Linked DNA regions of Nothobranchius furzeri. The protein of the gene in region 1 interacts with the protein of each later gene in a pairwise test. Links are inferred from orthologs where the notes say so. Each region holds a gene or a part of one and is shown in the gene's direction. Other genes may lie near its edges. The genes, in order: ythdc1 and tra2b.

The links.
Region 2: the proteins of ythdc1 (region 1) and tra2b interact in binary tests that used the Homo sapiens proteins (3 or more experiments, as listed by UniProt). The link is inferred for Nothobranchius furzeri from reciprocal best matches to the Homo sapiens genes YTHDC1 and TRA2B.

Annotation. Positions count from the first base shown.
Region 1 is NC_091746.1:69,734,959-69,751,003, forward strand, and holds the start of ythdc1 (YTH domain-containing protein 1), read left to right. Parts: upstream 1-5,502; 5' UTR 5,503-5,589; intron 5,590-5,658; 5' UTR 5,659-5,694; coding exon 5,695-5,722; intron 5,723-10,649; coding exon 10,650-10,751; intron 10,752-12,943; coding exon 12,944-13,224; intron 13,225-14,278; coding exon 14,279-14,633; intron 14,634-14,711; coding exon 14,712-14,774; intron 14,775-14,854; coding exon 14,855-14,970; intron 14,971-16,045. Other genes in the region: uncharacterized protein, read left to right, coding at 1,245-1,572, 1,789-1,906, 2,161-2,257, 2,374-2,685. UniProt on the Homo sapiens protein: Regulator of alternative splicing that specifically recognizes and binds N6-methyladenosine (m6A)-containing RNAs.
Region 2 is NC_091754.1:18,118,244-18,134,321, reverse strand, and holds tra2b (transformer-2 protein homolog beta), read left to right. Parts: upstream 1-8,819; 5' UTR 8,820-8,891; coding exon 8,892-8,957; intron 8,958-11,204; coding exon 11,205-11,305; intron 11,306-11,392; coding exon 11,393-11,555; intron 11,556-11,654; coding exon 11,655-11,843; intron 11,844-12,221; coding exon 12,222-12,337; intron 12,338-12,406; coding exon 12,407-12,529; intron 12,530-12,629; coding exon 12,630-12,700; intron 12,701-12,785; coding exon 12,786-12,796; 3' UTR 12,797-13,330; downstream 13,331-16,078. Other genes in the region: uncharacterized protein, read right to left, coding at 421-515, 593-640; hce2l2 (hatching enzyme 1.2), read left to right, coding at 3,397-3,456, 3,530-3,572, 3,647-3,709, 3,798-3,953, 4,048-4,165, 4,287-4,465, 4,626-4,707, 4,788-4,912 and 1 more. UniProt on the Homo sapiens protein: Sequence-specific RNA-binding protein which participates in the control of pre-mRNA splicing. Can either activate or suppress exon inclusion. Acts additively with RBMX to promote exon 7 inclusion of the survival motor neuron SMN2.

The DNA of each region.
Region 1 (16,045 bases):
TCTGGCTAGCAGCTTAAACAAACAAACTGACCTGACAGACAACAAAGAAAGGGAGCTGAAAAGTTGACACAAGGGGGGGGGGGGGGGGACGACACTCATCTACCTAATTAACAAAAGGACTAGACCCAATTTAAGAGTTAACCTGAAATCCTAAACTAAATACAAAGTTATGAAAAGAAAACAAACTATAAGTTTACATAATTCATAAAGAAATGGTAACAAATAAGTCGTCTGTGAAGGTTCTTAGTCATCCAGGTCATTGTAGTCTAATGAGCTTTGAAAGAAAAGCGTCTGGACTTCTTGAAGACGTTTCACCTCTCATCCGAGAGGCTTCTTCAGTTCTAAGGTCAAATGGTGGAGAGTCCCAGATTTAAACCCAGTGGGAGTTTCCCCCCGAAGAGGGAACAAAAGACCCCCTGATGATCTTCTACATAAACACATGAGCCAAGGTGTGAGGGTGGGTGTGGGTCCTATTCAGCCAGAGTTTCGGGTGAGCTCATTGTGAAGCCTGGCCCCACCCTATCATGTGAATTCCTGAGGTCAGATGGCCCAGGATATGCGTGGGCATTGAGGCATCTGGGAAGGGATCTCAAAACTGGATTATAGATGGCAGACAGTCGGTGTCGTAAACCACCGCCTCTGTTCAAAGATGGTTGCTCACAGTGGACATAAATGGCTTCCTTTACTCCTCTTTCAAACCATCTGTCCTCTCTGTCCAAAATGTGAAAGTTGGCATCCTCGAAAGAGTGACCTTTGTCCTTTAGATGCAAATGAACTGCTGAGTCCTGTCCCGTGGAGGTGGCTCTTCAATGACTACGTTTACATGCAGCCAATATCCGGGTTATGATCGGGTTAAGGTCGGTTTTCGGGTTTCTGAGTTGATCGGGATAACCCGTTTACAAGCAAGAGGCAACCCTAATTTGCATAACCCGTTTTCAATGCGGACTTTGGGGTAGCGTCAGGACGTATGGACGACGTCAAGACGCGTCATTTCCAGGTCATCTTGTTCCGGTATCCGTGAAAACAACAACATGTTTCCCAGTTCGGCAGAGATAGCGGGCGCGTTTGTTTGCGCTTTATTGCTGGTATTGACCCACCGGCAGCTCTTACAACGACTGTGCGTACTGGCCTTCATTCGAAGGAGAGTACGTGAGGAAGAAATTGCAAATATAGAGAGAGCTGCGCTAAACATATCCAACATATCGACGGTACCCGTTACCACCAGAGCCCCGCGGACACTTTGGATGAAGGTGCGCAGCCAGGACTGGTGGGAACTGGTTGTAATGATGGAGTTCACGGACACGGAATGGCGTGAGAATTTCCGTATGTCACGTCAATCTTTTGCTAAACTTTGTGGTATGATGGAAAGAGTGATGGAGCCCAGTGTAGTAACCATCCGCACACCAGTGCCTACAGAAATGGGCGTTGCCATGGTGCTGTATAAACTAGCAAGCTGTGCAGAGTGTCGTTTGATAGCAAACCAATTTGGAGTGCACAAGAGCACCGTGAGGAAGATGGTGTACCTATTCTGCAACGGAATGGTCGACTCAAGTCATCAAAACACTGATCCGGGTACCCACTTTGGAGGAGGCATGTGGCATTGCACAAAGATTTGAACGTGCCCACTCCATTCCTCAAATCATAGGTAAAATATTTCCTGCTCTTATGTCTTGTTAATGTCAATAGTTTTCTGAGAGTAGGCTAAATGTGAACTATACTATGTATGTAGGCTACACTGCTGTGTGCATATTTTTTCGTTTTTTTTTTTTTTTTAACTTTTTATCATAGGTTGTGTGGATGGGAGCCACATCCCTTGCTTGCCTCCAAGTGATGGCTACAGAGACTTCATAAACAGGAAGGGATGGCCATCCTATGTCCTCCAGGGAGTCTGTGATGACAAATACTGGTAGGTGTTTTGCCATTCCCAGCTTTTGTATTCATGATTATGATTTGTATATAATGTTGACAGACACACATCACTAAGCTATATTAGAACCACTCACAAACATCAATTGAGAGGTTCTCTGTTCAAAAAAACATCAACAGCTTATATGTACAAATAATTATGTCATTACTGACCTGAAATAATTTTCCTAACTTTTTGCCACTAATCACACCGCTCCCACTACATCTTGATTCACTGTGATACATTTTCCATAGTTTTTGGAGTGTGAACTGCAAAATGCCTGGTTCAGCACATGACGCCAATGCACTCCGCCAGTCCAATCTGTTCAACAATGCACAATCCTTCCCAAAGGTGGGTAATGCATTAAAACTTTTGGTATTTAAATGCAAGTTGCACACCTGCCACATATCTAAGATGCATTATGACATAATTTAGGAAGAATAATATTTCTATCTGTCCCACTTTAGAGAGCAGTGCAGATCGAGGGGCAGGATGTGGATTTCTTCCTGCTTGGAGTTCCTGCGTACCCACTGATGCCCTGGCTAATGAAGGGCTATCTGCAGTCCCCAAGACTGACACCACAAGAGGAAAGCTTCAACGTCTATTTGAGTTCTGCTAGAACAAGTATAGAGATAGCATTTGGTCGACTGAAATCTCGTTTCCGTGTTCTGTTGAAGCGCAGTGACTTCCATTTTACTTTCACACCATACGTGGTAGCAACCTGTTGTGCTCTACACAACTTTTGTGAGATGGAGAAGGAGCATGTTAATCCCAGATAGGCAGAGGAGGCCACATCAGTAGAAAGGCTGTTTCCACAGCCTGTGTCACAGGTCAATAGGGCTGATAACAGTGCAGCCTCAGCTATCAGACGGGCCCTGATTACCTTGCTGCACGTGTCCCACTCCGTAAGCGCTTGGTAAGAGCGTGAGTGTGCAGGACGAACGGCTCTGATAGGAAACAAACAACTTTAAACTGTAAGCTCGATACTTTTCAAAACGCTTTATTTTCTAAGTTTTAAAAGATGTTTATCTGCCTTCTCCTTTGTTGCTGTGCACCTCTGAAAAAGAACAGGTATATGCAATGTTCAAATAAAATGTCAACACATACAAGTTTTCTAGTAAGTTTAATAAAACATCTGTTCTTTAATAAAGCACATAACAAAATAACATTTTGGTTTTGCTTTTTAAATGTGAGGTTGATTCAGAAATCATTTGAGACATGAGTGCCTCATCACTGGCATGTCTCAACTGCCTTTGCTGCTCAAACCATTGGTTCTGCGTGTGCTGCATTCTCTCCATGAACTGTTGATGTTGAGTAAGTGAAGCAGCTCCACGGTGCCTGGACCTGCGACTTGACCCACCTAGAGCAGACATGACAGGCCTTAGAAAGTGTTGGGTAAGTTCTCTCTTAGTGTTCGACTATTATCACTTTTTGCATTCTTATGAAACTTGTGGATTCTAGAAGATGTTTCTTTACCTTTAGCTGACGTGTCAGAATGTCACCTGCTCCTTCGTCATAAACAAATATCTTCCTACAATTCTGAGTTTACTAAGAATGCAAAAGTGACAATAGTCCTTAGTTTGGGTCAACGGTTATATTACATAATATGTCATAATCACTGTAATCAAATTATCCACTAAAGAAAAGTACTATTTTCAGACATTACACAAGGAGGAGGAGTGACCTGGGGTTACAATACGCTACAACCAGTTATGCCTTTAGTAACAGTATTTAGAAAGCTCACCAGGAGTAGCTGCAGTGGGATTTGATGGCTGTGTAGACTGGCAAGGCACAGTCATTGAAGGTCCACCTTCTCCAATATCTGCATCTGGCCAGACATAAAAACAAGCAAAATGTTACAGCTTGATGTTAAAAAAGATGTTAATGATAGGTTAAACACAGATGGGTCGACGCATGTATCTACCTCCGAGAGCGAAACCCTTTGTTGGTATACGTATTGGATTGAGAAAGTCATGTGACTTACCTGTGTTTTCATCCATAACATCATCATCCTCTCCTTCAAGATGAACCAGACCGATGAAGAGAGAGGTTTCCTCGTCACTCCAAAAGTGTGGTGCTGTGCCGGCTGCGACTCGCCATGTTGCTCCCAACTTGTTTACTTCCGGTGTTCTGGCGCATACAAGATGTGTCGCTACTCAAAAGACCAAGATTCCTTGCGAACAGAGCATGCGCAGAACACACGCTTTGATGGGGATATCCCGATATGCGTTTACACGACCAAACTTTCGGGTTAGAAAAGGGTTACCCCAGGTGTAGTAACCGGGTTTTTAAAAACCCGGTTATGAGCATATCCGGGTTTTTGACGGTGTTTACATGGCCGTGCCGAACCGGGTTATTGCGAATATCCGGGTTTTAAAAGGGTTACTGGCTGCATGTAAACGCACTATGTTGTGCCATGCGCTTGTGAAGTGGCTGTTTGGTTTCTCCGACGTAGAGGTCTGGGCATTCCTCACTGCACTGTACAGCATACACCACATTGTTCAGTTTGTGTTTAGGAGTTTTGTCTTTCGGGTGAACCAGTTTCTGTCAGGAGCATCAGTGAGTTTGTGGCCGCTGCTCAGGGGGAGGGGGAGAGGGCTGAAGCAGGGGGAGGGGGGAGAGGGCTGAAGCAGGGGAACAGTAAATATGCAGAAACTACCGTTGTTGAGAGACGTGTTTAACTTTGAAAATGTGGGCGCAATTTTAATTACTTGTCAACTTTTTTCTTCAACGTTAAAACTGCTGCACAAAAAAAAAGACTGCTGCTCACGTGGGCCCCCTTTTTGCTGTGGGCCCCAGGGCCTGTGCCCAGTTTGCCCATATTATAATCCGGCCTTGGGTTTAGACTGCTGGAGGACACACTGACCACTTTCCACAATCTACTACTTTCTTCTACAATCTGCTCTTTAACTGTATTATTTTCTGCTATTTCAGCTGTTACCTTTATTTTTTCTCTAAGTGTTTTTCTCCCCAGAAGAAGCTACAATGATGTTCTGCTGAGCTGTGGTGGCCTCATGGAGGGAGCCATCGTCTAGCACACTGCTGCAAACCACTTAAACATTCTCCCTCTCCTGATAATAACATTTTACTTTCTTTGACATTGAATGTGCTACTACTAGTTTACCCATTTAATTATAGATTCACTAGGATAAATACAATAAAGTTTATCTCACCAAATAGAATATTTACTAAGAAATCACAATGTAACCATAGAAACATGACTTGGTGTGTGTGTGTGTGTGTTGTCTTCTCCATCCCCAGGGAGTCATGGTGGATGGCTGCTTATACTGAGCCAGGATCCTCTCGAGGTTTCTTCCTGTTAAAATTGAGTTTTCCTCTCCACTGTCGCTGCATGCTTGCTTAGTATGAGGATTGCTGCAAAGACTCTGACACTAGTCAGTGACTCGATGCAACCTGCTGGGTTCCTTATATAAGAAACTTTTTACTGGCTGGCTTAATAAACTGACCTGTATTGGAATGTTTACTGTGTGAAGGTCCTTGAGACGACTCTGGTCGAGATTTCGCGCTTTATAAATAAACTTGAATTGAATTAAACTCGCTTTCTGTAACTCCCCTCCGGTCCAGTCGGTGGCGCTAATACGCCACAACGTTACTGACTAAACAAGAAGAAGAACACGCTCAGACAACAGACGCAGTCCGCCATTTGGCTCCTTCAAGTCCTTGTAAGAGTACTTAAAGATAACAGTTTATTTGAAATATTAGCATATTATAATTGTAAGTTTGTTCTTTAGCATTACGTGCGCGTGAAGCAACAGCACATCTCAGTGATGGCGGCCGAGCGGCGCGAGGACAAAGGTGGGTTAGCTGTTAGCGTAAGCTAGCGTCTTGTTGCTCTTCAGAGTCAGCATGAATGTTGGTTTCATGGTTTCATTCCACTGCAGGAGTCAGTACGCCAACCGTTTAACTCCCTGAAAACCAACTGTTCTGTAGGCTCTTAAATGGCGAAAAACGCAGATATGCACAGTCCCATTGCGCATGCGCCAACTGGACCACGCTGCACAAGTCCGTGTTCTGATTCTTGTTTATCTTTATTTAGGTTACGTTTTTATCCAACATAACTTACAGCTGACTGCAGGTTACAGGGCAGTAAATGTACCTAACAGGGGCCAGTGGAGACTCTGGTCCTGAACGGGTCTTTGAGTCCGGATTCCCGGTCCACAGTGGCGTGTCCAGATCTTTTAAAATGGGGTGGCCCATGTGAGGCACAACTTTGTGCATGGGTGGCACCAATGGTTATGCTTTTTTAGTTTTACCCCCAAGCCTTTTGTGGACAATGAAAAGCCTATTTAAAGGTAAATTAGTGTGGTGGTATTTGGGGTGGCCAGTCAGATTCCAAGGGTGGCATGTGCTACCCCAGGCCACTCCCTGAACACGCCCCTGCCGGTCCACATCTCCATCAGCGGAGAAAGTCATGTTTAGCTGACTTTTAGGCCGGGAACACACCGGCCGCTGAAGCGCTCACGAAATTTGGCCGCTGCTCCTCAGTTCAGACCAAACGCTTGTTTCTCCGGTCGAGGCGCGCGCGCCTCATAGTTTTTCCTTTTAACCACTTGGTGTCCTCCATTTCCACTCTGCCTTTTCTCTGCTCTTTTCCTCTACCCCCCCCCCCCCCCCCCCCCTTGCTGTTTGTGTGTGGGATCCTATGGTGTGAACCAGTTGTTAATAGCCGGCCTACGACTTTCTGCTTCTGTCCTGTTTGCTCCGGTTGAAAGACTCCCAAAACCACACCCCCTTCACGTGGTCACACGCACAAGTTCGGTGTGTGTGTGTGGTTTACGAACATTTGACTATCATGGAATTGTATTTTGTTAAATTTGCCAGCCTGCCTCTTCTGTTTTGGTTTGACTTCCTGCCAGAATTGACGCGGTTCATCCGCGGCTCGCGAAAAAATAGAGCAGACACCGAAACGATCGCTGCACGGCACGGCCCATGTGACCTATTGAATAGGTTAACAAGGGCGCCGAATGAAGGAGGTCCCCGTTTCGCGGCGCTTCGGCGGCCGGTGTGTCCCCGGTGTTACGTTCAACCGGTGTTACGTCGATATGTGTTCCCCCCTCGAGATCGGTTTCTTTTGCACCCAGCTGCAAGTGGAAACGACCCAACCACAAGAAATAACCCTGAAACAAACATAAAAAATGTGCTACACATAATATTTTAAAAATTATATTTATGCAAAACATACATTTTTGGTGCCGGGGTGGTTATGGTTAGGGTTATTTCTTGTGATGGGGTCATTTCCATTTGCAGTTGGGTGCAAAAGAAACAGATCTCGAGGGAGGAACACATATCGGCCTAACACCGGCATCATATCAAAGCTGTTTCTGTGGTTTTTGGTGGTTAAAGTTTTATTTCCTGCTTGATTTGGGACATTTCATACAAAGACAAAACAACCTAATGTAATGTTTGCCCGCTGTGGCCTGGTAGCAAGTTGTTAAAAGAGGATAGAGATCAGTATCTGCAGAAACTGTCTACAATCAGCCAAGTAGGTCTCTACAACCTCAAAGGAAACAAACGAGCTCAGACTTCATTACTGCTGAAAATACATACCCGAGTAAGCGTAGTACTACTTCAACATACTTGTCATCTAGTAACAGTAAAAAGTAGCCGTCCAGACTCCACAAACACAGGAGCTGCTCCAGGTTTCATGTCTGGATGAGCCTTAATTAAACACGTTATTATTAATAAGTCACAAGCAGCTACAGAAACACCCACATCAGAGGTTAGCTACATGTTTGTTTCCATAAACGGTCGTGATCGTTTCCTCCCGTTATTTTCATTTCTCATTAAATAAAAATTCATTAATATTTAATCCAAACAAGCTGACCAGCGTGCCCAGCATCATATTTATGTCACTTTTAAATCATTTCACCTGAAGTAGCAACGCTTTACCTGCTGGTTCTGCGACACCGAGCTGCTGATCGTGGTGTCCGGGTTTGAGATGGTGCTCAGATGTTCTGATGGAAAGCTTCTCTTGATAGATCTTGTTACCTCCTGATGTTCTCTGGGTAACGTTTATGATGTCTGCTCACCTGCATGCGTCGGGGTAATTCCAGTCTGTCAGAATGACCAACACAGAGATTTCTCCATCAAATTTTTAACGGACAAAAACGTAAAATATCCGAAATACCAGTGAGCTCTATTTTCTCTTTAATGTATTCGGGACATTGCACATTAATGAACAATCAAGTACTTCTGTACAGACTGTAAGTGAGCCAGATTATAGCACAGTTGCTAATTTCCATCTGTAGTCCCTAGGCACTGTAGGCAGGAAAGCCAACATTGAATTTGCTGACAACATACAATTCTAAAACAACAATCTCATTACAGACAAACAAATTCAACAATAAAGATTAGTGGGGTGTGTGCATGACTGGGAAAGTTTGAGTGCTTTTTGAAAATCCTGTAAGTGGGACAGTCTCTACTATTCCGTGGTACGTTGTTCCGAAAGTGAGTCCCTCTGACTGCCAGAGCCGTTTTGTCCGAAGGTTGTTTTCTGTAGGGAATCTCCAGGTCTCTACCAGAGGAGGCTCTGGTACCAAAACCATTCAGTTCTTAGTTTGGTGGAGGTGGGGCGAGTCCATGCAGACCTTTGTAGATTAAGCATATTGTATTTTTCCAGAATAGTACACAGGTCAAAAGATTTTTCATCAAGAATTATTACAGACTTTTTGAATAACATTTCTGTTGGTTTTAAGGGTGTGTGTCCAGGTTGTAATGCAATGCTCTATGGTTTAAAGTTATGTACATTGGATCTGATGTGTTCGCTATGACTATGTGTTGTTTAAAAGATGGTGTCGAATCCAGGGTGATCCCGAAGTACTCTTGTACAAGGTCAAGCTCTACTCCCTGGACCGCTCCAGTTTCACCAGTTTTTTTTTTTAAGGGATGCACCTTATATTGGTATCGGCCGATAATAGTCATTTTTAGCATATCGGTGTCGGTCTGATAAATAAAACTGGGCCGATATTAACACTGATATTTTTTCCATCTTCAGGGTTTCCCCCAGAAACTGAGGCCCTGTCCACACGTAGCCGGGGATCTGCCAAAACGTAGATATTTGTCTACGTTTTGGTCTGTCATCCACACGAAAACGGATCTTTTTAAAAACTCCGGCCAAAGTGAAGATCTGCGTTTTCTCCGTTTTGGGTGTCTGCGTGTGGACAGACAAAACCGGAGTTTTAAGGTCCGCAACGTCACTTTCCACGACAAAAAATGCTGACATCACGTGTGCGACCTGTGTTTACACTAGCCGACAGCATGGAAGCCTTCAGAGCTGCGCTCTGTCACTACCCGATCCATCAATTGTCCAAGCGCTTTCTGCTTGTTTGTTTTTGCAAGCGGAATTACTGCTCCTTGCGGAAGACCACAGACGAAGGACGAGGATAAGAACGGGGGAAGTGCTGCCGCCTACAGGTCTGGCATGTCCTTAACAACGTCTTTATCCGGGTACGTGTGGACAGAGTTTGTTTTTAAAACGCGGGGATGTGGATGCAAGTTTTTGGAGGGGCGGATATTCGTTTTCAAAAAACCCCAGCTACGTGTGGACTAGGCCTGAGTTAAGCCTGGCGCTCCTCCACGCGCGCTCCATCCCTCAGCGCTCCATTGTGAGAGCGGGGGTGGGGTGGTTGTACAGTTCTGCTGCTGTTTCTCACCAGTATCAGCTGATGGAAGGCTCTAGTTTTGTTGCATCGTTTGTGTCCGCTTTTAAAGCGCTGGGGGAAACCCTGCATTTAAAACCAGACTGAGAGCCTTGAGGCGGGTTCCCTGTGTTGTAACTGCCTTCTGTAGTTTAGTACATAGCGTGATTGTAGTTGCTAGCATTAGCCACTAGCTTGCTCTATCCTAGTGGTTGTTGCATGTATTCTCACACGTCTGCTCGATCGGGGAACCTCCAGGTGAAACGTTCTGCTCTGAACTTTTGCGTTTGGCTTTGTGGGGACGTTTGTGTGTGTTTTAGCGAGCCTTACCCCGTGGCTGCCGACCACAGCTTTGTTAATGCCAAACCCCTCCGCTGCATAGTCAGGGCACAGCTACGGAGAGCAGTAACCCCGGTTTCACACTGCAAGCATCAGCGGAACGGAACAGCAGCAGAGCGGCTCACTCGCGAACTTCAAAGCGGTCCTTTTCACACCGGGAGAGTCTTGGCCGCCGCACAGCTTCCTCGCTGTGCCTCGCTGTACCCGCAAGATTCTAAAATCCCTCGAGACTTCCGACACCTTCCTCATCGAGAGATCTCAACCCCCGCGAGGAATCACACCGTTGCACTTCCCGAAAGAAACTGGTGTTAACCAAAGCCGTTCGGTCACACGTACTGACGTAAGTTATAAATAACATCGCAACGTTGCATTTTATTTTGAAAATAACCGGGGATTTTACACAGAAACTGTGTGGTTTCCTGTCTCGCTTAATGTGAACTGCGGAAATTGGTAGAAGTTGAATACCTCTACCTGCCTGTGGGACATCTGGGACACGTCTCTCTCGCTCTCCACTGTGATTGGAGAGATAAATAGATGCTTCATAATTTATGTATTTTACTGCTAAATAACTAAAATGTCTGAATTGTCAAAATAGAAAAGATGCGCTAAAATTGGGATTTTGAGTTTGCAAAAACAAAATTGTGACATGAATATTTTTCCATTGGCCGGGTCTTCGTGGCTGCTATGTTAGGCTTGGCCGTTGGTAATCATTGAAGTTGTTGTTCATGGGTGTCCCGCTCTTTCAGATGGAGAACTCAATGTTCTTGAGGATTTGCTGACTGAAGCTCCAGATCATGATGACGAGCTCTACAACCCCGAGACAGAGCGAGACATCAGCGACAAGAAAGGTACTCGTACTCATACTTGTGGCACTTTGGTTGGTTGTGTCTGACAGTAGCTTTTATCCAACAACACTTCTCTTGTGTTTACTGTGGTTGTGCCAGAAAACCACACTTAGAAATCAGAGTGGAAAGGTGATTACTACTGAGACCAACAATGATGGGTGTCTTGATGCAATTTGCTGGGTTCCTTATATAGGAAACATTATTTCTGATTGGCTTAATGAACTGTGAATTGGAATGTTATGTGAAGTGCCTTGAGACGACTCTTGTCGACTCTTGTCGTGATTTGGCGCTATATAAATAAAATTGAATTGAATTGAATTGAATTTATATTGCACTTTGGAAGGCTGCTGGTTAGGGTAAGATGCTACATGGCCACAGCCACCCTGGGGCAGCCTGACGGATGCATGGTTGCCATTTGCACCATGGACATCTGTAACCACCACCAACCAGGGTTGTCATGGTAACCAGTGTAGCGGTAAACCCCGGTAAAAAAGTTGACAAAAATAATAACCGTCTTGTTTTTTAAAAGATATATTATCTCGGTGGGTTTACCGTGGCTATGACCCTTATCAGCCACCGTATCATCTGCTGAAGTTGCCGGCGGCACATGCACACTTTGTTGTTTACGACCAAAACTTTCTTGAAGCTAAAGCTGAAATAATGGCCAAAGGAGGAGACGGCAGCGTTCAGGACATTTATTATCCCTCAAAGAAGACAAAGTGGGAAGTACGGGCATTTTTTGGATATTTGAAGAATGCCGAGGGGCAGTTGATAGAAGACGGCTATCCTGTTTGCAGCAGTGCAGGAAAAGTGTCTGTGAAAGGCAGCAACGCTTCAAATCTCATGACACATCTGCGTGACCATCACCCACAACTCTACAGTCAACGCAAGGCAAGTTAGCGTTTTAGCTAAAATGCGTGATCCAAGGATTTGGGTTGAGGGAGAATGCAACGAGTCGCTATATAAAGCAGCCGCAGTGCCGCTACCTGCATATAAACCGTGTCGCGGACACCCCCATGTTGAAATGACGCTATGCATTACAGGCATGTAATCAAATTTACATTTACGCAACATTTGGACTGAAAGAAATAATTTTATGAGACCAAAAAATAAACTTTTATTAAAAATAATAGTCGTGGTGGATGGCTGCTTATGGGCCATTTCCATCTGTACCGGGTCGGCCCGTGCCGGGTAGCATAGGTTGTTTACATATCTGGGTGGCCTGGTATTTTTCCGGGCCAACCGAGGCTCATTCTCAGTCCTCTTCTCGAGGGGGTCTGCTTCAGGCCGACCAGGGCCAACACACCCACTGCTGACAGCAAATTCACACCTTCCATTAGAGCAAGCCTCTGATTGGTGGGTAGAATCAGCCCACATGGGCTTAAGGCAAGGATGTGTGGAATCAACCGGGCCAGGCTGGGGCCAACTGGGGCTACCCGGCCCGGGCCGACCCGGTACAGATGAGAATGGCCCATTATACTGCGCCAGGATCCTCTGGAGGTTTCTTCCTGTTAAACGGGAGTTTTCCTCTCCACTGTCGCTGCATGCTTGCTTAGTATGAGGATTGCTGTAAAGACTCTGAAGTTAGTCAGTGACTCGATGCAACCTACTGGGTTCCTTATATAGGAAACTTTACTGATTGGCTTAATGACCTGACCAGTACTGTTTACTGTGTGAAGTGCCTTGAGACGACTGGTTGTGATGTAGAGCTTTTTAAATAAAGTTGAATTGAATCTGTTGCTGGTGTCAACGTTCTGCCAGGCTACGCACGGCGGTGTGGGGCTCATTCTGTTCACTACCGTAAATAAAATGCTCCAGCGCCGTGCTTTCTTAACCGCTTCATGTTTGAGTCGACATGAGTTTCCCAGAGTGCTTGGCGGCATGTAGGTGTGGTCTGGCAGAGCCTTGAGTGAGAGGGAAGTGACTGTTCTTAACCTGACTTGTGAATGTCTGCGATGCCTGATCTGATGTCATCGCTGACTCAACTGCTACAAAACTACACACAAGTGCACTTTATGGAGGTGACCAGCAGCTAACCGGACAAAGCTGTTATAGCCGGTTACGACCTTTACGGCAGTTAACCGGTTAACTTTGTTCATCCCTAGTGCAAGTACAGTCTGGAGCTTGTTTCCAGGCCAGACTACCACTGGTGTCTCATTTTGTGTGTGTGATTAAACCCTGATCTCGTCTTTCAGGTACAAAGAGAAAGAGCGAACGCTCTGAAAGCCGGGATCTAAAGAGGCTTCGCTCCTCATCGGGCCACACCCCCTCCAGATCTTCATCTGCAGTTAAGAGGGGTCTGGGATTGTCCTCTAAGAAGTCATCCAGCCCTCGCAGCCGCCATTCCACCACCTACCGTCACGATTACTACGACGAACGAAAGGGGAGGCAAGGGTCCAGAGAAGGGCCCCGGAGCCGTGGAGGAGAGGACGCACGGCGGAGAGAGTCCCAACGGGGCCTAGAGGGTCTGAGCCGGGTACTGCTGCTCTCAGTGACTGTTGATTCAAGTACAAGTTCCCAAAGTAGACTGCTGTAGAAAACGTTCCATTATTCAGTCAATTGTGTCTACCTTACAGTAGAGCGGGACGATAAAACGACAGCACTGGACCCGTCGGTGGCTGGAACGGAGCTGTGCTAAAGCACGTAGCCGTCAAGCTGCAAACGGCTAACGTTAGCAGCTGTAGCTTTGTACTGCAGGTAACAGGTGCGACTCGGCTGAGGAGGAGGACAGTGAATGACGTCGTTAGAAATACCAGACTTATCGTTTCTGTCGTGTGGACGTATTTTACCTAGGTAACTTAATAGCCGTGACCAGTCAAAGTATTTATTGTTGTGAGCCTCACCACAATATCGCAGGAATGTAAAGCTACGACGCTAATGTTGATGTTCAGTTCTTTTATTGAGAACGGCATCACGGGCGCGTTGCTGCCCTCGTCAGGTCAGGGGTGTAAACAACGCTGCTTCACCTTCATATCTGAGACCTGCCACTGTGGCGTGGGCGTTGTGCCCATTAACCCGCCGCTTCATGGGTTTACCGTGTTAGCCGTGGCCAGTGCTAATTTCCACTCCTGGCCAGGACATGAATATGCTAATGAGCTGCTTGCTGATTGGTCGGTTTAAACCAGAAGGCCTATGGCACTGGAGACTGCGGGTTGGAGGAGGAAGGGCTCCACATTGTGACGTTTTTATGAGAAGTTTCTCAGAAAAGTTTTGCTCTGGCATTTTTAAACTTTCTAATTTACATAAAAAGCAGGTCACAAACGGCTTTGACCTTCTGGCGTGCTACTTCTATTAACAAACAACAAGAAAATGTTGGTCTAGATTCTGTGTCCCCTTCAAAGTTCTCATCATATAGCTTAGAAAATCACGTACCTAATTTTCTGACCTGTTTAGTGTGAGCAAGCGTTAAAAAAGAGGTCTTCAGATGAGCTTTGCTTTTTGAAATGAATGGGGAAATTTAACTAACAATATTCTAATGTTAAAGTTAAAAGTTATTCTGCCAATAACAGTCACTTCCTGTTTGCCATCAGAAGTTGCGGCGTGATGAACGGCGAACGACGCTTTCCCCCCATAATGATGAGAACCAGTCAGAGGAAGAGCCGGAGTATGGTTCGGAGCAGGCATCGGGCAGTTCCTCCCACGTAGAGGAGGAGGAAGAGGAGGAGGATCAGGAGGAAGATGAGGAGGGCATGGAGGAGGAAGAGGATGAGGAGGAAGGAGAGAAAGAGGAAGAAGAAGAGGAGGAGGAATATGACGAGCGTCGTGGTGGTGAGGGAAACGACTATGACACAAGGAGTGAAGCTGGAGATTCGCGATCTGCCTCCTCTGTGAGTTTCTCTGATGATGGTGAATCAGCCCACACAGGCTCCGCCTCTGAGGCCTCAGGTAATCGTGGCAGCAGGTGTTTAGCTTTCGTCCAGACTGGTTGACGTTAACTCCGATCGTGTGCTTTCGTTTTGGCAGAATCGGAGAAGAAGCGAGAAAAGCTGTCGTCGTCAGTTCGAGCTGTTCGAAAAGGGATGGAGAGTAAGAAGGCCTCCAGCTCCTTATGTCGTTTCACAGCATTCACCTCATTTGCTCACACTTGTGACGTCATCTGATTACAGAAACTTCCTGTGCCGTTGCAGATCCCACCAACAAACTCCGTTACATCCTGCGAGATGCTCGCTTCTTCCTCATTAAGAGCAACAACCATGAAAACGTTTCCCTGGCCAAAGCAAAGGTGTGCTTCAGCCTCCGTCTGGTTTGCAGCTCTTTCACTGTTGGGTTCACATGCCTTATAAAGCACCGTGTCACCACACAAGTCTCTAAACTCTGTGTCACCACACAAGTCTCTAAACACTGTGTCACCACACAAGTCTCTAAACACTGTGTCACCACACAAGTCTCTAAATACTACACAAAACACTAGCACCGTGTGTCACCACACAAGTCTCTAAACACGGTTTCACCACACAAATCTCTAAACACTGTGTCACCACACAAGTCTCTAAACACGGTTTCACCACACAAGTCTCTAAACACTGTTTCACCACACAAGTCTCTAAACACGGTTTCACCACACAAGTCTCTAAACACTGTTTCACCACACAAGTCTCTAAACACTGTTTCACCACACAAGTCTCTAAACACTACACAAAACACAAGCACCGTGTCACCACACAAGTCTCTAAACACGGTTTCACCACACAAGTCTCTAAACACGGTTTCACCACACAAGTCTCTAAACACTACACAAAACACAAGCACCGTGTGTCACCACACAAGTCTTTAAACTCCGTGTCACCACACAAGTCTCTAAACACGGTTTCACCACACAAGTCTCTAAACACTACACAAAACACAAGCACCGTGTCACCACACAAGTCTCTAAACACTGTTTCACCACACAAGTCTAAACACTGTTTCACCACACAAGTCTCTAAACACGGTTTCACCACACAAGTCTCTAAACACGGTTTCACCACACAAGTCTCTAAACACTGTTTCACCACACAAGTCTAAACACTGTTTCACCACACAAGTCTCTAAACACTACACAAAACACAAGCACCGTGTCACCACACAAGTCTCTAAACTCCGTGTCACCACACAAGTCTCGAAACACGGTTTCACCACACAAGTCTCTAAACACTACACAAAACACAAGCACCGTGTGTCACCACACAAGTCTTTAAACTCCGTGTCACCACACAAGTCTCTAAACTCCGTGTCACCACACAAGTCTCTAAACTCTGTGTCACCACACAAGTCTCTAAATACTACACAAAACACTAGCACAGTGTCACCACACAAGT
Region 2 (16,078 bases), on another chromosome or scaffold:
TTTTCAATAAAAAAGAGTAAAAGAATAAAACAAGGCAATTTGAGCAGCAATGTAAGACTTTGCACACAAGAAAGTCGGTTGCCTGTCTGAACTTCTAACTAGTAAAGAATGACCTCATTACTTTTGTTCACATTCATTGTAATGTTGTGATTGTCAATAAAGTTTTTCCAAATGAAAAAAACTTTATTCAAAACTTAAAAATTATTTATCTTAAAACAACGAAAAGAACCAAAGGACGGGTCTACTTACGTAATTTATTCTTGTTTTTATAAGAAAGAGTTGCTAAAATTTTGTAACACAGACCTGCACTTTGACGTTAGAGGACGTAAAGTCGGGGGGTGGGGGTGTGTGATTGTTTGTTTGACTGGACTGAATTAAAATCTCCACACGAAAATATAAACGGTCATATAAGGTCAGTACCTGTCATTTATCTCCTTTTCAACAACCTGTCTTTTCTGCTGCACTTCATTTAGTTGACGGATGTTTTCTTGGATTTCATGCTGAAGCGCTTCAACCTGCCAAAAAAGTTTTTCTTTAATGGAATCTTAACGACTTTTTTTGTCTGCTCATTACAAGCAGAGAGGTTACGTACCGTGTTATTTTCGTCTGTCGTGTGCGGTTTTTCGAAAGAAGTGGTCATGTTGGATCTAACGTGCAGACATACGCTGCACGCGCTAACATTTTTTGGTTTATGACGGTTACTTCCGCTTCGTCTGTCAGAGCCCGGATAGCTCAGTCGGTAGAGCATCAGACTTTTAATCTGAGGGTCCAGGGTTCAAGTCCCTGTTCGGGCGTCAAAATTTTTCCGTTTTTCTTGCAATGCTATGGAGAATTTTTTGTATCAATATTCATAACTCTGGTTTAAAAAAGTGAAATATTTTAAATAACTTTAATATTTATTTTTGTCTTCTCTGAGCCTTTTAAATGCACTCACAAACGGAATGGAAAACAAAATTATTAATACCGTTCAGACCTATAAGTAAATGCATGTTAGAGGACGATTTAGCTTTCCTTTCCTTTGCAGGGTTGTGGGGAACTGGTCCCTTTACCCAGCAGGTAACAAGTGGCAGCGGACACCCTGGACAGGTGGCAAGGCAGCTTTGTTTGAATGGCACATGTCATACACAGAGGCAATTCAGTGTGCTTTCCATTAGCGAGAATAGCATGAACATTAAAGTAACTTGACTGCACAACTCAAGTACACAGTTCAAATTCAGTTTAAAAAAGACAAAGCTGAAGGGTGAGCAGTTACAGTGCAGACGGTGCAGCACACGACACTTTCATTCAAAGCCTGACAAATACATGAAAGTTTTTGATTTTGATCTAAATGTTACTAAAGTTTGGGTAAATTTGCTGTCATAAGGAAGCTGATTCCATTTGTGTGCAGCATAGTAGCTGAAAGCAGCTTCACCCTGTTTGGTTTTGACTCGACATGTCAGCAGTTCATCACTGTTCCACCAGGACATACAGCTACCGATATTTACTTAAGTCACTCACACATTGGGACAACTTAGCGTCATCGATTTTACCTAACATGCCTGTTTTTGGCTCTTGGGAAGAAACCCAGAGGAAACCCATCCATGTAAGGGGAGAAGATGCAAACTCCATGCAGAAAGACCACAGCCAGGATTCAAACCTGTGACCTTCTTGCTGCAGTGGTGGAAGAAGTACTTGAAATTTTTACTTAAAAGTACAGATAAAGAAGTAAAAAAAAGTACTTAAGTAAAAGTGGAAGTGTCCAAGATTTGGAGTTAAGTAAAGTTTTAAAGTATGCATTTTCAAATGTACTTTAAAGTAAAAAAGTAATAGTATTCAACTAACATTTAATTATGCGTTGTTTGCATACAAGTGTGCTGTCTGACCAGGGGGTTGGACAAAATGCAAATTAAAGTACTTTTACTTTTGAAACTTTGTAGAAAATGTAGTGGAGTATAAGTACAGATAATATTTTTTAAATGTACTGGAATGAAAGTAAAAAGTAGGCCTCAAGAAAATAGAACATTTAATGTTAAAATGGTTGGCGTTTGAATTGCACCAAACGAAACAAATGTTTGCATGTAAATTCTTCCAAAAATTTGACACAGCTTTTGAATATCGATATAATTTTCCAGGAAAAAAAATCACGATATATTGCTGTATTGATATTTTCTTACGTCCCTAATATAAAAAATCATAAAACATTGCTCTTTTTGTTGCTTTACAGATACAGTTTATTAAAACTGGGTTTTAATTATTGAAAATGTAACAATTTAAAGTAGAGATGGACCAATACTGGTGTACAGATACAGATAACGGCAAAACAGATATTGCTGATATGTGCTACAAGTTTCAGATATCTAGATGTTTCCCACCTTATTTGCATGCTAAAAAGTCCCTAATAACAACAGTTGATGTGCATCGTTTCTACACCTCATCAGTTCTGGAACAATGAATGTCAGCAATGGCTGAATCTTAATTTCGTGCTCTGCTCAGTATTAAAATCAAACATTTAACCAAATGTAATTAAAAAATAAATCAATAAGTTGACCAAATAGTAAGTAAAAAAAACTGAAATTATAAAGAAATGTAATGCTGTTTAAAGAATTTATTAAGCAGGAATTTAAATGTACATCTAAATAAAATTCTCCAGAAGTACCGGGCTGGCCACGGATATGCCTGACTTTAAATCTGCTCACCAAAGAGGTATAGTGACAGGTGAAGAAACATTAAAAAAAAGGTAAATATCATCCCAATATATCAGTAGGCAGATATAATAATCTAACTCTAATTTAAGGTTCTACAACTCCATTTTCCAATTAAACTGCTTTATTTTGATCACCTAATTTTTTGTTTTGTTTAATTCTGCACTGATTCTGAATTTCTAACACTGTTTAAACAAAAAAACTGGTGTTTGGTCAGAGCTAAAGTGTAATCCTGTTTGTGGCCAGCCATGCATTTCCAGAGAAACATGAGGCATCTGAGGAATTAGAGAACGTGGATAAGAACATGTTATGATCTGAAATTAGCTGCACAACAGAGCATGTGGACCATGGGTAAGCTTGGATTGAGTAGAAAGAAAACAGCACTCTTAGTAAATGTACACGCCATAGAAATCCCCAAATTGTACCGATCTGGTGCCAAACATTAAACCATTTATTTTAAAGCTACTCATTGAATTTGAGCTGTTATTAAACACAGTAGGACCTCACATTATGCTCCCGTTGGAGATGTTGTTTTTAAAAAAAAACTCATACTAATTAGAGGATTAAAGTCACTCACAAACAAATAACAACATCCCTGTAATTTAGCTGAGATAATCATGGGTATTATGTCTGAACAGCGACTGGGAGCACCTATAAAACCGGGTGTTAGTGTAGGTCCAAATGGCAACACAGGGGACAAACCTGACTGGAGAAGATGGAGCAGATGGCCCTCCTGTGTGTGCTTTCGACTTGCTTCTCAGCTGTGCAAGCTCAGGTAAACACGCAGCGAGAGTCGGTCTCAGGTAGGATTCTTGCATGAACAAAACTCGCTTTTGCTTTTCTTGCAGAATTATTTGCTGAGTCCAAAATGGGTCCCTGTTGGCTTTAGAGGTGAAAACATTTGCTCTTTTTTTTGGGTACAACTTTGGCTCCGTGTGCACACTGACAAACCCTGCTGTTTTTAGAGCGTGAAGAGCGAGGCGATGCAACAGCGATGGATAAAATAATCCAAGCGAATGAGTTCCACGGTGAGTTTTGCCCACACTCTTCCTGTTTGTTTGCAGTTAGGAATGAGTGACAAATAGCTTGTGTTGGTTTAATTTCTGCTGATTTCAGCCACCAGAATCATTGATGGCACTACCACTCTCCGAGAAGGAGACATTGCTGTCTCCTCTGGAAGACGCTCCAAAGTCTGCTTTGCTCGAAGCTGCTTGTGGTCAAAGTCAGTGGATGGACATGTCTATGTCGCATACATGCTCTCCCCTGAATACAGTATGTAAAGTAATTTAATATGCTCAAATAAATGTTGCGATTGATCAGTTATATTCTGTTTTCTGTGCGTTTTTTAATTAATAATTAAAAACAGCTGAAATTGAGGAAAAGCTGATAAAGAAGGGGATGGACAACATCGAGGATGGTACCTGCATCCGTTTTGTTCCTCGTACTCACCAGAGAGACTACCTTGACATCCAATCAAAGTCTGGGTGAGTGATGAAAGGTGTGATTCAACCATCTTGTTGTTTTTAAGGTAATTTAGCAAAACGTTTTGTGTGCAAACGTGCTTCCCAACTTTTTATTTCATATTCTGCGCAATGGTGAATCAAGGTGTTGGTCCTACCTTGGCTCTCGTGGTGGAAGACAGACCGTGTCTCTGCAGAACCCTGACTGCATGCAGGTTGGCGTGATCTCCCATGAATTTATGCACGCCCTGGGCTTCGTGCACGAGCAGTCCCGCTTTGACCGAGACAACTACATCACCATCATGTGGCCAAACATTTGGAGAGGTAATAAAAAATAAAACACACCTACAGTGACATTTAAAAGAAAAAGTTAAAACTATTGTTTTCTATTTGCGTTGCCGCAGCGACTTTAATAGAAAACTATTTTAAAAGCCATGTTTAATTCATTTAAAATAAAGTGCTTTTCTTGATGGTTTTCTAACAGATCGGTTTAGAAACTTTGAGAAGTTCAAAACCGAGAATCTGGACCTTCCTTATGACTACAGCTCCATCATGCACTTTGGGATGTACGTATTGTTGTTTTTTTTTTATCTCTGCACACCGTGACTTTGTTCTTGCATGCTTTACAACACGTGTTCACGCTTAGGTATGCATATTCGATGGACGGAGAACCAACCATCGTTCCGAAGACCAACAGGAACATTAAGCTCGGCCAGGCGTCCTCTCTCAGCCACGTTGACAAGCTGAAAATCAACAGACTGTATCAGTGTGGTCCGTACTAATCGTATACTTAAGTCCGCCTAAAACGCGGTGGAAAATGTTTGACTTTTCTTTGTTTCTCTCTCTGCAGCTGTAAAAGACGATTAGCAACCGACCCAAACTGAACCCGAAAATGAATCCTCTGAGAGCAAATCGAGAATACAAACTTCTGCGACATCCTGCAACGATCCATTCAAGCTTTCTATCAGCGCTAACTTTGTTTAATTCAATTTATCTGTTTAAACAAATCGTGCTGAACGAGTAAGGAGAACAACTTCCTGTGAAACTGGATTAAAGCTTAGTCTTGTCATCTTTATGTTTCCACTCACTTCCTGTAATAAAAAATCATGAATCAAACCCTGCTTGCTTATGTGTTATGTTTTAAAAAGCTCTATAATAGAACAAACGGATAACTAATGATGCAATAATATGAATTAAAGTCACTATTTTATATCTGATAAACCACACCAGATTGTTTAATGAGCAGACGTGTTTAAAACCTTTGAATACAGATATTTCTGTGATAACATAACTGATTTCATAACCGTCACTCTTCCCTGAGTGCTCTTCCTTCATAATTGCCCCTTAATCAAAATAGAAATAGTATTTGGAGAGGGATAAAGTCCTGTTTGTATATATTTACCCACGTGACAAAGTGATTGTTGTTGTTATCTGATAGTATGTCACAAAATCACTGGTTACCAGTTCGCTCATACTCAAAATTGCTGGTCTGACTGGGTGGACAGTCGCGCCAATGATAGCAGCTGCTGAGCTGCAGCACATCCAGCTGCAAAACACCTCTAAGTGTCTCTTTTCTGAAAGTGCTGAGTAATGAAGGTCAGCATGTGGACCACCTGTTGCGGATCAGTAGTGGACTTGAGGAAATTACACCCACTGGATGATGAGAGGTCTTGTGCCGTGCTTCATCACAGAAGAGGGGTCCAATCAGTAGAAAGCTGCAGAGGAGAAGTGGGTATATAGATTCAGTGGAGGTGGCGACTTTTACGTTGCTTCTGCACTGGAAGACGACAAATTCAGACTCAAACATGCAATCTCTGATCCTTCTTCTGGGCGTCTTGTTCGGCTTTCCAGCCCAGGTGGATATGCTACCCGTTAAGGTGAGTAACCTGTGTTTTAAACGCATTTCTCTGCAAACTGGATGTGTTTACGTTTCGTTTTGTGTGACAGAATTCCACTGATGTTCTGGAGGGCAAGCCAAGACCAAAGAGGAAGTACTCTGGTGAGTTTTCTCTCATATACCAGTTATAATATTCTACACTTTTATTGTAATTCAGTCTTCAGAAAGATGAAAAGGAAGCGTTTCTTTGTTTTTCCTTCAGATGAAATTCCAGACTTTGATGACATGACTGCAATGGATCAAATCCTTGTAGTCAACAGCAGTAAGTTTTCACAAACTGATGCCGATCGAGGCTTTTGGGGTGTGTTCTGAACTTTTTGTTTTTAAATCAGGACTGCGAGTGCCCAGAGGACTGTCCTTCAGGGAGGGAGATATTGCCTACTCTTATGCACGGAGTGCCATAAACTGCCCTGACAACACCTGTCTGTGGCCTAAATCCATTGATGGATTTGTTTATGTGCCCTACATCCTCTCGCCCTTATATGGTATCAGCTTTCTAAGGTGTTTCGAAGATGGTTTGGAATCATTAGGTGTTCCAATCAAAGTTTTCCCTTTTCTTATGTAGATGACATGGACAGAATCACCATAGAAACCGGGATGCAGGACATTTCTGCCGGATCATGCGTTAAATTTGTTCCTCGCACTCATGAGGCTAACTTCCTTGACGTCCAGCCTCGATATGGGTGAGAAACGCTCCTTGTTAATTGATTTTTTTGTGTGTTTACGATGATTCGCATAGTACACTATGCTCTCTGTTCCAAGATGCTGGTCGTTTCTGGGACAGACTGGAGGAAGTCAGGTCTTGTCACTGCAGAGTCCTGGGTGCATGTGGGCAGGGATCGCTGCTCATGAGTTCATGCACGCGCTCGGATTTGTACACGAGCAGTCCCGCTCAGACAGAGACCACTACGTCACAATTGTATGGAAAAACATCATGCCAGGTTTGGATTCGGGACAACTTCCCAACAATACATCAACTGCACTAATTTAGGAACTCATTTTAGGTACATTTGATCTAAATTAAACTAATATTTTTGCTTGTTTGATTGTTTTAACAGAACATATCCATAACTTCAGAAAACAGGCAACGAACAATCTCAACAGCCCATACGACTACAGCTCTGTCATGCATTATGGACGGTGAGCTGCTGCTTCATAGCCTAGTGAACTAGACCAAATTCTTGCTTTGCAAAGAATGGTCTAGGCATGCTCCATTGGAACCTCAGCAGCTCCTACCAGGACTCTGGCTAGCCAATCACAGCTCTCTAGAGGGGTTTCAAACACATAAAGAGCTGTGATTGGTCCATAATGGTGGGCCAATCATAGTGCTCTATCTGCTTAGTGAACAAATCACAGAGCTTTATTCGCTTTGTGGGCCAATCAGGGCACTCTATATGCCTGGTGGGTGGGATGATGCAACAGAGTGAAACAAGAGTATGTCACATTCATTGTCCAGTGGAATGCGGAGATCATTTGAAAGACAACGGTAGAACCCGCCCCACAACCGAGAGCCGTCAATGGAGCGTGGCCAGACTAAATAATACATTTATTTAGTCTGGCTTGCCAGGTCTGGCTAGCTGCTTCAGGCAACATAATCATATGTCTTCTGAGATTTTTCGGTGGCATCATTTTATGCATCTCTGATTCAGATACGCCTTCTCTGAAGACGGTGGACCAACAATCATTCCCAGACCAGATCCTTACATTCCAATTGGCCAGCGAGACGGACCAAGTGCTCTGGATCTTCATAAAATTAACACCCTGTATGACTGTGGTAGGTATAATGACACAAAACAACTTTATTATTTAATTATACTCATAATCGCTGATCTCTTATAGATTTTTTTATTTGATTTTCTCTCCAGGTCCTAATGAGTAACTAAATCTCTGTGGAAATCTCTGCTCTAAAGTCCTGCCGAATGTGGAAAATAGTTTATTATCATTCAGGCTAATTCATTTTTAATAGGCAGAATTTTTTTTTGTGTGTGTTTGTGTTTTTAGTTTGTGTCGGCTTTTAGATTGTGTCCACTCATCTTTGGGTACAAATCCATTGATTGCCATCAAACTATTGGATATATCAACTAAAATATGAATTCTATGAATATTCAGCCTCCCCTGTGACAAAGCTTTGTAGATAATAATTTTGTACAATCGTCTGCTCTTTTTGCTTTTGCTTTTTGATTCCTAATAAATAAAATGCAACAGAAAAAAGTTGTGGTCACTTTTACATATGAATCATCTGTGTTTTTCAGCAATAAATGAACAAATCAATTAAATTCTATTATGCTGTATTATTTTTCGCACAAGATCTTAAGAAAATCTTGTACTTTCCCGTTGACATGCCAAATCATCACACATGCATGTGAACAAAATGTATATTTAGACAGGTTTGATTAGGCTTCTATCAATTATTCATTTCTTACAAAAATGCATTTTTTGTGACTTAATGGTGTGTTATTTGTGCCTTTCTCATGTAGCTTTGATACACATTAAATTTACTTATTTTTACATAAACTGGAGGACATCAAAGGAGGAGCATTAGATTTAATGATGAATTCTCATATTTAATTGTATTAGGTAAATTACTTACTGTGAGTATTTCCCATTATTATTATTATTATTATTAGTAGTAGTAGTAGTAGTGTTGTTGTTTGATTATTTTCTTCTAATTGAATCCAGCCCTCTAATGCAAATATATATATATAATTCTACAGATGTTTTTCCATTGACATAGTTTTATTTTGTAGCTCTGCGCTACTTTTGAAAAAGAAAACTGGTTTCCGCTGAAGGGCTGAGCGCGTTTGAGTGACGTCATTTTGATTTCCAGGCTGTTTGTCAGTCTTTTCTAGCTCAATGGAACACAACAGTAACCCTCCATCTAGAATAATCACTATCAATAAAATGAGTGACAAAGAGCAGGTATGTGTGAACTTTTTTTTTATTTAGCTTTTTTTTATTATTTTCAATTCGTTCATGATTAAAAAGTGATTCTCTTCCGAGCACCGCGTTGTGTTTTTCGGCTAATGCTCTTTCTGTTTGCTAACTCGTGTTTTTGGTCAAATGTATCATGTTTATTTACTCCACGAAGCATAACAGTGTTAAATCGGTCGTTTTTTCCCTACGAGAAAGCATGTAGGATGAAAATTATATTATTTAGCTTCTGTGAATTAAGCTAGCTGGCTAAGGCTAACGTGTAGCTAGGCCTCAACTTCTGATTACTTTTGTTGCGATATTGGCAAAGGTCTACCACAACCCGCAAAGAAATACATTAATTTTTAAACCATTCAAGCATTTTTAGAGGTAGCTGTTGCAACTTGAACACATTTTTAGCTGAAATGCTAATTATGCTAATGGAACATGCTAGAAGGAAGTAGACGCTAGGGCTTTTTAAGCCATAAAAATTATCGATGAAAGGCTATAATTTAATCATTTGTAGTGCTTTATTCATGTTAACTGTGTGTTTGGCTGCAACTTCGTGTTTGGGTGATTTGCATTTGGTGAAACGGTCAACGTGTTATTGCATTTATCAGCGCAGAAATGTAAAAATAGAAACTCAAAAGGCCTCAAGATGTTTCCTCTTTCATTTACCTGTCAAAGACGAAGGTGGCACTACACTGACTCGATCCGATCAGACTAGAGGCTGTTTTAAATGCTAATTGTTTTTCAGAACCTATTGGGAAATTGTAATATTTAAGGAGATTATTGAGATAATCTTCAAATATCTATTTCTATAAATTAATTAGCTAAAATAAGGATTGTATGTTTACACCCAGAAATAGTCGGGGTTGAAAATCTCTGTAATGGTTATTTTTTAAATCAGAAGCTGAAATTTGGTAACTTCTAAATGTTCTGATGATGCAAATTTATTTGTCTACTTCTCATTTAGTGACTTGCACAAACATCTTGTGATTGATTGGATATTTGATATATTATTTGGGGAATAAGAATAACTTGTGCCTCGTTTGTTTTAAACTTTTTTCTTAAAATCACACTGAAGATCTTTCGAGTGCTGATGATGGGAAAAAAGTACAAACGAGAGGTGTTTGCATCTTGTGGTCATTTTTGTCTGACCTTGCAGTTATTATTTGTAAAGGGTAAAGGACAAATAAGTGGGTTTATTCTGAAATGTAGCTTATTCACATTCAGTGGTTTGAAATGACGGTGAACCATTCATTTTTATAATTTTTTTATGGATGAATAAAACTCCATTGTTGTGTTTTTTTCTGGTGCGACACGTCTCATGCTTTTGTTACGTTCAGGTTGATAAACTAATTGTGTTTATAATTCTCACTTTTCAGGTTGAGCAGTGATTTTTTAAAGATCCCTGCACCCTCCTTCACTTGCTCGTTTTAAAAAACGCGTTGTAAATTGTTAAACAAAATGTGCCAGTAGGGCGTAGAACCACTGAAAGTGAATTATCTTAAAAAAAAAAAAAAAACTGAACATTTGTAATCTTTCTATTTGTGCTAAAAGATCCTGATAACACATGACTGATAACACATGACAAAGTTGAATGAGCGTGCCCTGTTAACTGTAGTCATATATTCTTCATCTTCTTTTTCATTAAGGTTAAGGTTGGACGAAGAAAATGCAGAAGAAGTCTCATGTCCACTTTATTTTCAGTAATATGAAGCTGAGATGTGTGAAGCTGAATTGTTGAATGCATGCTAAAACATGAGGAGGGAAGAACTATGAGCAGTGTGTGTGAAGGGAGAAGTCAGAAGATTTAAGACAATTGAAGAAAGAAGAATAATGTGAAGTAATGAAGTTACAGAAATGAAGTTAAGGAAGTAATCTGGATAAGGTCACTGCGCTAAGTAATTTTCTGGTCTACTTGTCAAATGCGTGCATGTTTTATTTTGTTGAATACAACACAAATTAAATTTTACAATTGAAAAATTTATTTGAATTGTAATTAAGTTAATGTAATCATTGTTGCTATTATAACCTTGGTTGTACAAAGTAACATTAAACATTTATATTTACAAATCAATTTTTTCTACAAATTAACAGGATATATTTAATTCCTATCTCTTTAGAGACTTTTTAAAAAAATGTTCAATATCACATCTGTGATGATAACTGTGTGTGTGTGTGTGTGTGTGTGTGTGTGTGTGTGTGTGTGTGTGTGTGTGTGTGTGTGTGTGTGTGTGTGTGTGTGTTCAGAAGTCTCGCTCTGCTTCCAGGAGCGTGAGCGCACATGGTTCTGGGAAGTCGGCTAGTCGCTCCCGCTCTAAATCCTGGTCTCGCTCCAGGTCCAGGTCTGGGTGAGTTACGAAGCAGCGCTCAGGTGGACTGGACTGAAACGGCCTTGAACTCGTGTGAGGGTGGAAACATTGTCTCTGTCTCTGCAGATCACATTCCCACCGTGGCTCCCGCAGACATTACAGCCGCTCTCGGTCCCGCTCCAAGTCCTATCACCGCAGATCTCGCAGTCGGTCCCACAGCGGGGAACGTCGGCGCAGAAGCCATAGTCACTCCCCTATGTCCAATCGCCGCAGGCACATTGGCAACCGTGTATGTCCTCATTGTTTAGATACATTTCTTTGAATCTGCTCAGCATGAAATTTATAAGCAGATAAACCTATTATTGACCTAATCTTAATATTGCAACAGGCTAATCCAGATCCAAACGGTTGCCTGGGAGTGTTTGGCTTGAGCCTGTACACCACAGAGAGGGACCTAAGGGACGTCTTCTCTAAATATGGACCCCTGGCAGATGTTAGCATCGTGTACGACCAGCAGTCAAGACGCTCCAGGGGCTTCGCCTTTGTTTACTTTGAGAACACAAACGATGCTAAAGAGGTAAAATAATATTTGTTGATTTAAAGAGAAAAAAAATACCTTTCAGATCTATTATTAAAAAAAATTCCATTGAAGGCTGTGTTGATTTTTGCAGCCAGGAGAGAGCAGAATGCATCTCTGCTAGTAGAATTTAACTGTTAGCATTAGCAACTTCACAACATGGCAGAAGTCCTTCAATCTTATTTGTGAAGATTACACATCAGTGTTGCAGAGCAAACAGAGGCAGTTTAAGAGTCGTTTCTGCCCCTCACTCATCCATCTAACTTCTACTTCTGAAAACAGGAGCGCCAGAGCTTTTTTTCCCCTGAAAATGACTCAAAACATTCATTCTGCAGACCACAACAAATGTATTGATGTGTTGTCTTTTTATGCTGTCAGGCGAAGGAGCGTGCGAACGGCATGGAGCTGGATGGTCGCAGAATCAGGGTGGATTTCTCCATCACGAAAAGACCTCACACCCCAACCCCAGGGATCTACATGGGACGACCCACGTAGTAAGTCAACACAAACATAATATTTACAGCAAATAAGAGAAATATTAATGCTTTCACATCCGTTTTTAGTGGTGGAGGCGGTCCCGGTGGGCCACGGCGCAACTCACGTGACTATGATCGTGGATATGATCGTGGTTACGACAGAGGCGGCTACGATCGCTATGACGACAGAGAATACTACAAGTCGTACAGGTGACAGTCCCTGTCTGTCGGCTTTAGTCAGGATGATTTCATTAGAACATTGATCCTTTTTTTAGGCTCTTATTAAAAGTTTTTTTTTGTGTTTTTAAAGACGCCGCTCTCCATCGCCGTATTACAGAGGAACATACAGGTCTCGGTCAAGATCACGATCATATTCCCCGCGTGAGTGCTCAGAAATCGTCACCTCTTATTGAAACCATCATAGTTGGGATTATTCTAATGAACTTGTTCTCTCTCTCTCTTGCAGGTCGATATTGAGCTGTTCCAAGCGGCTTTAATTCCCTCTCCTCCCATGAACAGGAATTTTTCTGAGAAATATCTTTAACTTTGTACTTTTTTTCTTCTTTAAGGGATAGTTGGGTTTCTTAAACTTAGGAACGTGTGTCTTCAGTCAGTTGAATGTGGCAGAATTTGTTCCAGTTGATCAGTTCTTGTTTATTGTTTTAATTGATGTTTTTTTTAAGTTTTTGAACCCGATGGACCTCATACTCCCATGTTCTGGTCGTTTGGCTTTGAAGACTCCTCACACGTGGCCTGTTGGCGATCGCCAATAGCAACAGTGTGAAATGACGGTATCTGTAATACAGCCTAGTAATGGTGAAGAAACCACTTTATCCCATTAAGATTACAGCTTATACATAATCACAGGAAGTGGTGAAGCAGTCCTCTTATTGTTGTACATTTTAAATGTGAAGGAAAGATTCGTAGTTCTAAATGTGATAATTTATGGTTCACAAACTGAGTGACATCTCATTCTTGAACAAATAAAGAGGGAGTATGTTTTTTTTTTCACCTTGACCTGGTTTTTTAAAATTTATTTATGGCCTTGAGCAGTTAAAAATAACTAAGAATTTAGTAAAGCTTTGTAGTTTACAGTGATGGAATAAAGAAAAAGCTGAGTCTCTAATGTTCTCAATGTTTTTTCACCATATTTAATTATTGGACTCAGTTTATAACAAAGCTCATAAAACTGGTTCAACAACTACCCCTGCTGGTCTACGAGAGCCTCTGAGAAGTCCTAAATCTGCGTCTACTGCATAAATCACTCATTTAAATTAATGAAAGGGCACGATTGTTGACACAGACTTAAATGATTATTTTATTTAACGGTTTATATGCTTCCCTTAAAATTTTAGAATCAACATTTTTTATTGCAAATTGGCAGAATTAAATTAGGGAGAATTATGATTGAAAATAATCACTAGTGTGGTTGTCTAAATCAGGCTAAACATTCAATTTGGGCAAAAATTTCTGTTTTATTTAGTATTAAAATTAAAATGTAATTTATTTCTAGTTTGATTTATGTTATGTTTTTCATGGTTCTCATGTAAGGTAAAAACATGATATTTACTAGGATGCATGTTTATGTCCTTGGCTCAGGTAATTAACTAATATTCTTTATTTTCTAGTTGCAAACAAACTGAGTTAGGCACATTAGGTTACAGCACGCCTGCTGAAAAAGCTGATATTAATTTATTTGAAATGACAGTTGATTTGAAAAAAAAAACCTAATTTTATTATAATAAAAAAATGGATGAATTCCTGAAGTGGGAGCAGAGAGAAGACAAACCAGTAGAGGACCACACCTTGGAAACTGCCTATTTCCATGTTCTACCACATATGTGTGCGTTGCTACACTCGTTCTCTCCAAATGTCACATCCCTTCCACTTGCTGTTCGTTTTCCTTTCAGAGTGGAAACTTTTATGCCTGATTTGATGACATGTTGACCTATTTGGGCAAAAGTTTGAATATCCAGCTCAACAGAAACAAAAAAGCAATCGGCTAATAAGATAAATGAATAATTTCTGTTTAAAAATACGCTTTTTAAAATAAAACTCATACATCAATAGCATTTTTACAATTTGAGATGTCTTTTCCCACTTCCTTGGATGGCACAAAGTGTGTAAGAAGGGCATGCCATCAGGGAAGTAACCCAAGAGCTTTTATTTTTTTGTAAATAAGCCAGTTTGGACATTCCTCTGGCAACTGATGGAAACAGGGCGGGAAGGAATGGTCACTCCGGCTGCTGCTGCTGCTCTCAGCACCACAGTGGGGTGGCAGTAATGCTCCAAACCCTCAGAAAAAAAGAAAACAAAATTAGTCACATGTAAGTCAACAAAGCTCCGCCCCTTTGTAGGCACAAAACTACAACATCCATGTGTGAGCAGCTGCAGCTGCCGCCTTAAGCATGCTTCCCTCCCAAACACACCCATTTACACAACCAGCTCTGCAAATAAAAATGTGCATGGGATCAATGTCTACGAAAGAAGGAAAGACTCCATTTAATAAGCTACAACATTAATCATTTTTATGTACAGTACTGGCCAAAACCTTGGAAACATCTTCTAATTCAATGTGTTGTCTTTATTTTCATGACCATTTACATCGGTAGATTCTCACTGAAGGCCTCAAAACTATGAATGAACACGTGGAGTTGTGTACTTAACCAAAAAAGGTGAAATAACTGAAAACATGTTTTATATTCTATTTTCTTCAAAATAGCCACCCTTTGCTCGGATTACTGCTTTTCACAATTTTGGCACGATGAGCTTCAAGAGGTAGTGCCCTGAAATGTTTTTCCAACAGTCTTGAAGGAGTTCCCAGAGGTATTTAGCACTTGTTGGCCCCTTTGTAAATGGTCATGGTCATGAAAATAAAGAAAACACATTGAATGAGAAGGTGTGTCCAAACTTTTGGCCTGTACTGTATGTGAAATGGATCAAAAACATCAGGAGACAATCCCCTAATTATCATTGTTCAGTGTTTATTCTATAGCATCAAATATTTCAAGTAAGTAGGTACAAAAACTTTATTACCATAAGTAGAAATTCTGGGTATCCGAATGTCAGTGGTGTCATTTCCACACACTTACCTGTATTTTTTACTTCTTACATTCTAAAAACATCACGGCTACAACTATTTTATGTTGGCTTGTCATAAAAAAACCACAAGGACAAAAAGTCCTAATAGTGAATTTGACTGTGGTTGGATAATTGTAAACATCCACCATTACGACACCTTTTTGGTTTTTAACATCCACATGTGGGTCTTTAATGTTTGCATCCCACTAAACTGTGTTCATTTTCAATGAGCATATGTGGTTAATACATGTAGCTTAGTGTTGCCCAAATTTGTCAACGTTAACATTTTTATATGCCATTATATTCAATAAAGCCTTTAAAAAATAAAAAAGTTTTTGAGAGGTGTGGTAGCGTTATAACACGGCTTAAGATTTCACCCTGGATTTAAAAAAAACTTACTTTACTTTTACTTTTATACTTTAAAGCCAAAATTCTGTGTTTTTTCTTTTCTTTTTTTGGTTTTTGTCAGAGGGCACCATCCAGAGGTGGAAAAAATGCTCGCACCTTAATATAGCAATAGCAAATTTGGAAAACAAATTAGCTTAAAAACTTTGTTTTCATGCCTCTTAACAATGTTCTAACAGTATAGCTATAAATATATTGTGAAGGTAAAAAAAATGGTTATTTTGCATTTGTCTAAAAACCTCGGCTAATAACACCTTTTGGACCTAAAGTAAC